2 linked regions of the Macaca fascicularis genome follow. The main gene of each other region encodes a partner of the protein of the gene in region 2 in a complex. Links are inferred from orthologs where the notes say so. Each region holds a gene or a part of one and is shown on either strand. Other genes may lie near its edges.

What was found.
Region 1: ODAD4 (region 2) and CLXN share a complex: the UniProt entries of both Homo sapiens proteins name them as parts of the outer dynein arm-docking complex. The link is inferred for Macaca fascicularis from reciprocal best matches to the Homo sapiens genes ODAD4 and CLXN.

The regions. Positions count from the first base shown.
Region 1 is NC_088382.1:58,624,631-58,629,813, forward strand, and holds the start of CLXN (calaxin), read right to left. Parts: upstream 3,306-5,183; 5' UTR 3,196-3,305; coding exon 3,138-3,195; exon of another isoform or gene 2,992-3,137; intron 1-2,991. UniProt on the Homo sapiens protein: Component of the outer dynein arm-docking complex (ODA-DC) that mediates outer dynein arms (ODA) binding onto the doublet microtubule. Seems to regulate the assembly of both ODAs and their axonemal docking complex onto ciliary microtubules.
Region 2 is NC_088390.1:62,976,820-62,981,397, reverse strand, and holds part of ODAD4 (outer dynein arm-docking complex subunit 4), read right to left. Parts: intron 4,294-4,578; coding exon 4,162-4,293; intron 4,027-4,161; exon of another isoform or gene 3,954-4,026; intron 3,899-3,953; coding exon 3,748-3,898; intron 3,011-3,747; coding exon 2,949-3,010; intron 2,722-2,948; coding exon 2,556-2,721; intron 2,467-2,555; exon of another isoform or gene 2,364-2,466; intron 929-2,363; coding exon 704-928; intron 603-703; coding exon of another isoform or gene 521-602; coding exon 313-520; intron 1-312. UniProt on the Homo sapiens protein: Component of the outer dynein arm-docking complex (ODA-DC) that mediates outer dynein arms (ODA) binding onto the doublet microtubule. Plays an essential role for the assembly of ODA-DC and for the docking of ODA in ciliary axoneme.

The DNA of each region.
Region 1 (5,183 bases), on a different chromosome or scaffold from region 2:
AGATGTCAGGTTCATGAGAACTAGGTAACGATTTTCATTTCACTTTAGGCTTCATGAATTCATAAGCCAGATTTTGGAAACTAGAGTCACCAGTTTTCCAATAAAAAGCTTTAAAGCATATTTTAGCACCCAATATGGCTCTTCTTGAGGATTATGTAAAAATTGACATGCAAGTATTCAGTAATAGTTTGGAGGAAGGACATTTTTATTTAAAGGATATATACACACACAGATACTTGCTCATACACATTATTGTATAAAGGACCATGGTTATAAATACCGAGTTAATTATTTGTGTTCCAATCCCCATTTGAGAATGTAGGTGGAAGGGTTATTGCCTGGTCTTGATAATATAAAAGCCCAAATACCAAGTATGGGAGGAAGTTGGGGAAAATTTATTTAGAAACCAGACAAAACTATGATTGAGCATTTTAACAAACAAGGACAAAACCTGCATGTGTATAACAGAAGACAGCATCTAGGAATGGAAAAATCACACCTCATCCTAGAGGTCAGTACAGGCTTTTGTGAGATATCTGGTTTGGAGAACCACATTTAAAGAGAAACACTAAAAACTTTGGGAAAAAAGATTCAGCAAATAAACAGTAGGAAACAATATAATGGTTATGATTTTAAAAACAGCTGTTAGTCACTGGAAAGCAGTATGATGGCGCTTCATAAAAATTAAACACAATTATCGTATGATCCAGGAACTCTACTTCTAAATACATACTCAGAAGAACTGAAAGCAGGAACCTGCACAACAATGTTCATAGTGTCATTATTCACAACAGTCAAAAGACAGATGCAAGAGTCCATCAATGGAGGAATGGATAGACAAAATGTGGCGTATTCATACAACGAAGTATTATTCAGTCTTAAAAAGGAAGAAAATTCTGACACATAGATGAACATTTATGGACATTGCACTAAGTCAAATAAGCCAGGCACGAAAGGACACATATTGTATGATTCCTCATATATGAGGTACTTAGTCAGATTTATAGAGACAAAGTAAAATGGTAGTTGCCAGGGGCTAGGATGAGGAGGGAATGGTGAGTTAATATTTAATGGGTAGAGTTTCCACTGGGGACGATGAAAAAGTTCTGGAGGAGGATGTAAGCACTTAAAATGGTTAAAATAGTAAATTTCATGTTACATGTAACCGCATATACACACACACAAACCTCTTAAAAAGCAAGAGCTATTAGTGGTTGGGGAAGAAAAACCTGCATGAAGAATGATGTACTCTGTTCATGTATATAAAATGGTAGTAGAGGGGATGTTGGTTAGCCATTTTTCCATCTCAGCTGAAATAAAAATTTTAAAAAGTTAGTTTAATTTATTACCCAAAGGATCAAAGGTTAGCCATAAGAAAACTTTTATTGCTAAACATTTCTTAAATTCTAGAATACAATATTAAATGAAACTGAAGAAAATTCAAGAACAGATTTTCATCTTCTTGGAATGCTCTAAATGTGTCCTGCAGAACATATCTGTAGAATGGTGCATGAACTAGATGCTCTCTTAAGATCTTTCACTCTTCTTTGATTCTACAAAATTTATCCATTGACTCTTGATAGTTTTATTGTCTTGCAACTAAAACAAAATTTAACTTTAGGGGAAAGTTCCTTCTGTTAAAGAAAATTTAAAATTATTATAATACCCATGACTTATAACTATTTCTATAGACTGTAATAATCATCTAAGTTTGTAAGACTCATTAAAATTTTTTTAGTAAATAAAAAAATCAAGAGTAGACTTTTTCCTGCCATATTTTTAATTATCTTTAAAAATATACACTCACCTTTTGATTGTTTACAGAATGATTGTTTGCAATGCATTCAAACTTACTGAACAGAGACTAACTCAAATTCAAACTTATGGAAAGGGACAAAATCAGTATTGTGTATAGCAGCTATTGCATTGTTTTTGAATATTTATCAAAAATGTTTACTAGATGTTTACTAGAAGAATACCTATTCTTCTCCCAGAAATGAAAGTGTTTTAAGAAAAACAATAACAGAACAAAACTCTCATCAGAGTATAGTAGTCATAATAATACCTTAAATTACAGGATTTTTTTTCCTAGACATTTTAAGATGCTTACACATACCATAACATTCATTTACGTCACCATCCCACTAAGAGAGCATTTCTTACCAGGTATTAAATCAGACACTAATGATAATTAGAATGCACTAGATCTTATGATCTCTAAAACTACATCAACACGTTTATTCCTTCTTCTTTGAGCAATGCAGATATTTGGGGAATTGTTGCTTCTGTTTCTTCAAGTGACCAGTAGATTTGCAATGAACACACAACTTCTAAGTTTGCTCGACAGGCAATATCTTCCTCATCTAAACCATACCCACGGTTTCCTTGCTCAAGTGCAATTATGTTTTTCAGTCTGAATATAAACTCAAAGTTTCCTATGAAATTCCAGTACCACCCTTTCAAATGCGAGATTAGAGCAGGTGCCTTCAAATAGGGCTCATCTTGTCACCTGCAAAGTCTCCTTTATCTTTCAACACTAGGGGCCACAGGAAAGTGGGAGTCTAAAGTTGGGAATCCATTCTTTTCCGCGTGTTTAGTTGTGCTGAACTCTGTTTTCCAAACAAATCTTGTTCTGAGGCACAGATGAGATGACACAACTAACATCTCCTAAAGATGTTGAGAAGTTGAGCACCGTTTTCTCCTATGGGTCTCTTGGTAAGCTTCCAGAACTTGTACCTGCGAGTGTATATGCGAGCTAGAAAGCAGGGTGAGTGCACGTTGGTGGTGGTACTTTTCTTGAGACCAGTGGGTTTTAGCATTTATTTTACACCTCACTGAGGCTAACATCACGTTTCTATCAGGTAAAATAAGAGGCTTGGAGAAGCAAGTAAATGCATGTGTGGGAGTGTAGGTAGCACTAGAGGTGGAGGCCTGGGTTCCTAAGATCAAACCCAAGGAGCTAGCACCCCGGGGATTCACCCACTGACTTACGCCTAAGGGGCCGGAGTGGAGGGGCGGTAGGTAGCCCACACAAGCCCAGGAGGCCGGAAGCAGGCAGAACAGCGGACCCTGGCACCGGGTGGGACCCAGGTTCGGTCCAGGAGCCTCGACTTGTCCAGCACTAGATTCTTACTTACAATGCTTGCAATTTTTAGCTAAGGTGTCTGTCAGCTTCTGCAGCTTCTTGCGGTTCATGCCTGGCCCTCAGAGAATGGGGCCGCGGCGGGGGTCTCGGGGCGCACGGCTGCCGAGACTCTCCCGGGACCCCCGCGAGCCCTGGTGCTGGGGCAACGCGGTGAGGTCTCAGTCACTGATAGCGTGCGCTGCCCTAACAGACGGTGTAGCCAAGGCAACGGCTCGATCCGCCGCGGATTGGCTCCCAGGCTGCCCGCGACGTGGCCATGGCAACAACTGAGCTCCGCCCATCGGCTCAACGGCGGCGTGCGCTAGGTCCTGCGTGCGCGGTGCTGCCTGCAGGGTCCCAGCTGGCCGCCTTGAGGGCTGTATTCTGATTGTGGACGTTGGAGTTTAAATGTTCAGTTGTTGCTGGCTTTTGAGTTCGCAACCTTTTTGCTTGATTGCAGTGTAAATGATTAAAATCTGAAATGTGGTGTGTACGCTGTATGAGAGGTGTTTCGGGTGGTGAGCGTCACGCGTCAAAGGGAAGCCTAAGATCTTGGACATCCTGGGGGCTGGAGCAGCGTCACAAAACAGCAAGGGTGCTGTCCAGAGGACTGTCTCGCCGGGCCTCCTGTCGTAGGGCGAGGAGCTTGCTCTTTGGGCGGAGCCACGCTTAGGCTGTCAGTCTTGGTGCGGTAACAGGAGGCAGTTTGTCACCTGAGGTCTTCAAGCTTTTAGTTGTGTTTCTGAGAGCAAGGGGAAATTGGAATACAGCCACGGGTTGTCTAAGGATGGAGATGCGTTCTGAGGTCACGAGGAGATTTCATCAGTGTGTGCACATCACGGTGCACCGACACAAACCTAGATGGCCTCGCCTACTGCACGCCGGGCTGTATGGTACAGCCCATTGCTTCTGGGCTGCACACCTGCACAGCAGGTCACTGCGCGGAATGCTGCAGGCAGCTAGGACAGAGTGCTAAGCACTCTGGGGAAGGAGCAGTGTTCCAGTACAGTGTTATATCTTATGGGACCACTGTCCTAATGTTGTCTGACATTGACTTAAATGGCGCTATGTGGCTTGTGACTGTAGTTTTTTTTTCTTTTCCCACTGCCCTCATCTCACTCTCAAAAGGTGGAAGTTGTCTGTGGAATCTGAATAAAGTCACTAGGAATTTTTATACTGCTTAAATAGGCATTCCCCCCAATGAAAACAGGGGCTGACAACTACCACTTGGGTGTGGGATACAGCCCAATCTTGCTTTTCTGGAAAATATCTCAGTAACCTTGGTCCTTGACTTATTTGAAAGACAGGTTCTGTGTCTGCAGACAAAGGATAGTCCTTACATCTTCAGTGTGGGAGGACTTTCTGCTTTTCCTGACCACAGAGGGGATACCTCCCTTTCAGCTAAGGCAGCAACAAAAAGGGGTGGCTCAGCCAGGAGCACCAAATCTACAGTATTCTCCAGAGTGCCTGCTTGTTTAACTTCAGAGGGGAAAATGACAAACTATGTTATTGTACACATACTGGCATTTTTAGACTGAAGCAGAAAAATTCTACTAACCATGAATAATAATCCCAAATGAAATAATTCCAATGTCAGGGCCTCTGGTTTCTCTTTACTGTTTCATTTGTTTTTGGAATGAAGGATTGGGATGCTGTCTGAAACTAGAGCAAAGGGTGCTTGGTAAAGGCATGGACTGTATTTTATCCTAAAGCAAATGACCTAACAACAGCTACCTGATATGAATTGATGGTGATTATGAATTTGTAACAGTAGCCTTTTTAAATAGTGTTTCTACATATCCCCTTGTCTAGAAGAGTGAAATTCCTGAAACCATAGAGAACAAAAGGGAAAGACTGGACATATTTGAATTATACTTACCTGTGACACCTTATTGATTTCTGTTAGATCACAGAGCTGTAGCAAATACTTAATTCCTAGAGATTGCTGCACTGCTCACTTCAAGAGACAAGGTACTGAAAGAGTGGTTGTCAGTAATTACTAAGAGGCACTGTGGGCTCCCTGTCTGATGTACTAGGCCTGTGTTGGGGAGCAGGCCTG
Region 2 (4,578 bases):
CATCTGGCATGTCTGGGGCTTCATGCGTGCTTGTCAAGATGATGTAAGAATATAAACACCCCTAAGAGCCAGATCATTGGGTAGCTTTTTGGAATTTTGAGCCACTACCCTTTTTGTGGCAAAGAAGCTAACAGTCTAGGTGCCCCCACCCTCAGTCCTGGGCAGGTGGTCCCCACCTCCGGGAGAATCTACCTCGGGCATGCAGAGCAGAAAATGGGAGTCAAGCCACCAGCAGCCCTGGCAAGGGCCTCAGATAGCCCCAGGTGTCCTTCTTTGTAGGCTCACGCCAGTGGCCTCCCCTAGGGCACTCACTATTCCTTGGCGATCTCCAGGTCCTTTCTGTGGCTCTGCAGGGCTGCCGCCATCTGCCCCAGCTCAATCTGGGCATTCCCTATGCAGCTATACAAGTTTCCAACCAGTTCATCCTTGTTGGGTACCTCTTCCTTATTCCATTCCAGTACCTTCTTCAGCACTTTCTCGGCTTTCTGAAGACTCCCTTCAGCACTGCCGCTTGTGAGCACTGGGAAAGGAAAGGGGTGCTGTGGAGGCCAGGGCAGCCTCCTCTTGGCTGATGGGGAAACTCCTCTTCCTGCAGACACCATCTGCAGGTCAGAGAGACCAGGGGCTCAGACACCTGGTTGCTCCTTCCCCACCTGACAAGGCACTGGAGGCACCTGCCCCACCCTCTGAGAACAACACCCACACATGTCAATGTCCTCCAGGCTCTTGAGGATGTAATGGGCTGTCTGTGAGGGATGGCGTTTGTGGTCCCGCAGCCATTTCTCTTGCATCAGCTTCCGGTCCCGCTCCCTAGCATAGATCGGCTTTTGCTGCCTCCAGAAGTTGCTGTGAGTATCCAGGTAGTTGATGCCCGTCATGATGAGGTCCTCCACAGTCAGGCCGCCCTTCATGGTGCCTTTGATCAGGTCTGTGGGGAAGGGGTGTGAGGAGGCGCCAAGGAGAACAGGCCTCTAAGGGGGTTGCCTCCTGTTGCCTCCCGGTAGCTGCTGCAGGGCCCTCTGTGAAGAGCTCTGCCTGGAGTTGTTGAAACAGAGAGGAATTTGAGTGCGCATGGTGGCAGAGTGGGTTTATCCAGGCCAGGATGCAGCCAGAGCCCCACTTTCAGGGAGTTCCATGGTATGGGCACCTTATGGCAAGATATGAGGAGCTAACCAGAAGGGGCAGCTGGTGGATGGCTCGCTGAGAAGCCTTGGGGCTTCCCCAGTTCAAACTGTGTCCTCAGAGAACACTGGGTCTAAATGCACAATCTGGCCCAGGCTGCCAGTGCTCAGTGATTTCCCAGGTGCCCAGTGGGCCTGTGCATGCTGGGAGCTGGAAGGGGAGTGCCCAACTCCTGCTCACTGCCTGGCCAGAGGTTACAGCCAGTAGCAAAGCTACAAGGCCACTTGAGGTAATATTCAAGCCACCCCTTCCCTCTGCAGCAGGTCCTCTGGAGAACAGGAGGCATTCAGCCTGTTGCCAAGGAGATGTGCCAGCAGTGAAGCTGTTCCTGTGTCACGGAACAGGGAACCCTACATATGACCTTGGGAAGCCAATTCTGGAGAAGAGGCATTTGGTTCACAGGTGACCCTGCTCAGGCTTATCAGCTAATGGCAATACTCCCATCCCCATGTTAATGCGAGACGTTCATCTCAGGCCTCTGTCCTTCATCCCGTCACTGGCAGCAGTGTGGTGGGAAGAGCGCTAGACTGGCCAGGTGTGGTGGCTCACACCTATAATCCCAGCACTTTGGGAGGCTGAGGCGGGCAAATCACTTGAGGTCCGGAGTTCGAAACCAGCCTGGCCAACATGGTGACACCCCATCTCTACTAAAAATACAAAAAATTAGCTGGGCGTGGTGGTGGGTGCCTGTAATCCTAGCTACTAGGGAGGCTGAGGCAGGAGAATCGCTTTAACCCAGGAGATGGAGGTGGCAGTGAGCCAAGTTTGCTCCACTGCACTCCAGCCTGGGCGACAGAGCAAGACTCTGTCTTTAAAAGAAAGAGCACTGGACTGGAGGTCAGAGGCCTGGGTTCTGCTGGTGACTCCACCACGAACTTGTTTGTCAACTTGTAAAAGTTCCTCCCCAATCAGGGTCTCTATTTCCTTATCTATGAAAGGAGTACTTGGACCAGATGATGTTTCAGAACATCCTAGAACTAATATCCTCGGATTCAAGCATCTGTGTGCTGGATTCGTTTGCCCATTGTAAAGATTGAAGGCAAAGGGGATGTCCCTTCAGGGACTATGGTGGTAAAGGAGACCAAATCTCTGTTGTTCCCTCCCAGGGTACCATAGCACTTAGGAGCATTGCTCTAAAATTGGACTTCCTGGATTCGAATGTAAGCCATGTCATTGCCTACCTATATGTGACCTTAGTTTCCGTTGGTCTGCGCCTCAGTTTCCTCATCTGTAAAATGAGAATGCTAATAAAACCCGTCCATAGGTACATGTCAGCTAATATTATATGACAGGTTCTGCCTTCGGCTCATGCATGAAGCATCCACCCAAATTTCCTTTCCCCCAAGGCCCTGTGCCAACAAACTGTCCGAAACCTTCATCCAATAGGAGCTTCTCCAGATACTCTTTGTCCACGTAGAGCTCCCCCAGAAGCTGGCGAACAGTCTTCTCACTCTTGAGTGAGCCCTTCCGCTTGGGCTCTCCCTTGGTGGGGTGTAAGAGGTGTCTCATGGGCTGAGGCTTCTGCTGGGCTTTTATAGTCTAAGAAAATGGAGGAACACCCAGCAGAGCTTCAGCAAGGAGCAGAATATACCCAGCCATGGCCCTATGGTCTGTGATCCCAGATTCCTCCAACTCCAGGACCTTTCTGTGGGCCAAGAGCCATGGAGTATGCCTGGTCGGGTTGCAGCTAGACTCCCAAGACCCCTTCTCAGGCACACACAACCTCTTCCCTTGGAGGGATACAACCGCAGAACCAGGGCCCTTACCTCAGCCTGCTTGCTTAAGAAGGAGAGGTCCCCTTTGTTCTCCAGCTTAATGGAAGAAGGACCTGCAAGGAAAGAAGCTGGAGCTCAGGTCGGCCAGGCCCCCACGGCCAGAACCCCCACGCATGATCTATAACATATTTTTAGGTGGAAATGGCTGCCTTTGGCAGGGGGATGGTGGAGGCTGTGGCAAAGCTGGCCTTAAGCCAGCCTAGTAAGCAAATGGTGCAGGCTGTTTGGTATAACTCCTAGGAGCTAACAGCCCCCACTAGCCCAAGGCTATGGCAGCCAGATTTCCAGACAAAGGGAGGCCAAGGGTACAGGGGAAACTGTCCATTTCCAGGCCCTGCCACCCACAGAGCAAGCTCTCACTTGTTCTCACTTGCTTCCCTTCTACCCCTGCCTTAATGCTGATGGCTAAGGCCAGCCCTTGGTATACGTGTGGTGAGGGAGGAAGCCAGGGACTACAGAAGGCTGGGCTCAGGACCGCGTTCTAGCTTTTGACACCAGGCTAAAGACAGGCCTACTTCGAAACAGCCCTTCTAAGCTGACCTTTAGGAAAACCCAAGGCTGCAGCGCTCAGAGATCAGTGTGTTCGTCAGGGAATGGTCCTCCCGGCGGACAGGTGGCGCCGGCCACCACGCCCAACTAATCCTCAACAACACTGCAGCAGCCAAATCCAAGTGTGGGACTCCCTGCAGGCCTGGTGGTGGCTGCTCACCTGCTGTACCTCAGCCTTCCTCTAAACCTAAGGATTCCAAGGACCTTCCTGGATAAGTGCATAGGCCCTGTGGCCACTCACTTCCCACTGAGTTGTTGATGGCTTCCTGGGCTTTCTGAATGCCAACTTTGAATTCCCGATCAGGCCTCAGCTTGTAGCCTCGATGATAGAATACCAAGGCAAACTCAAAGTCTCCCATGGTGTACAGTGTCTCAGCCTTTTGTAAAATCCCCTGGAATGGGAGGAAATCAAATCAATGTGAACAGATAAGGCCTTATAGGACTCACATGTGGTGGAACAGAAGGGTCCTGGGTTGAGGGTCAAGGTTGGAATACAGGGGGCAGGGACTTAGGCAATGACCTACGAAGAGAAAACGGCATCAAACACTAGGCAGTCTGGCTGCTTCTACTTGTAACAACTACTTGTTACAACTACTTGTAACCCGCAGCTGCTGCAGGCAATAGCAGGATCGAGTCCTCCCGCCCATGCAGTCACCTTACAGAAAGTTGGGTCACTCTGGAGCGAAGCCTCAGCATCCTCCAGGGATCTCTCCAAGTCTCCCATCTTCAGGAAGCACTTTGAGCGAGCAACCAGGCAGTTCTTGTCTCCATCCTGAAGGTAAAGAGCCTGACAAAGAAACCAGTCAGGTTGACAGCCAGCATGAAGAGCAAGGTAGAAGCTGCAGTGGGAAGGGCAGCCCAAACCCTCCTGCAGAGGTTCAAGGGGATTCTTCAGGCCAGCACACAGGCCTCTGGCTCCTAAGCAGCACAACTCCGATCTGCACTCAGTCAACTTGATTATCTGCACATGGCTCACCTTGAACAAGGTCAAATCATGGCTATGATGGAAACCACTGGCTGAAGAGTGGGAATATGCTACTCTGTGGATACGCTGACTTTCTGCCAATGTCTG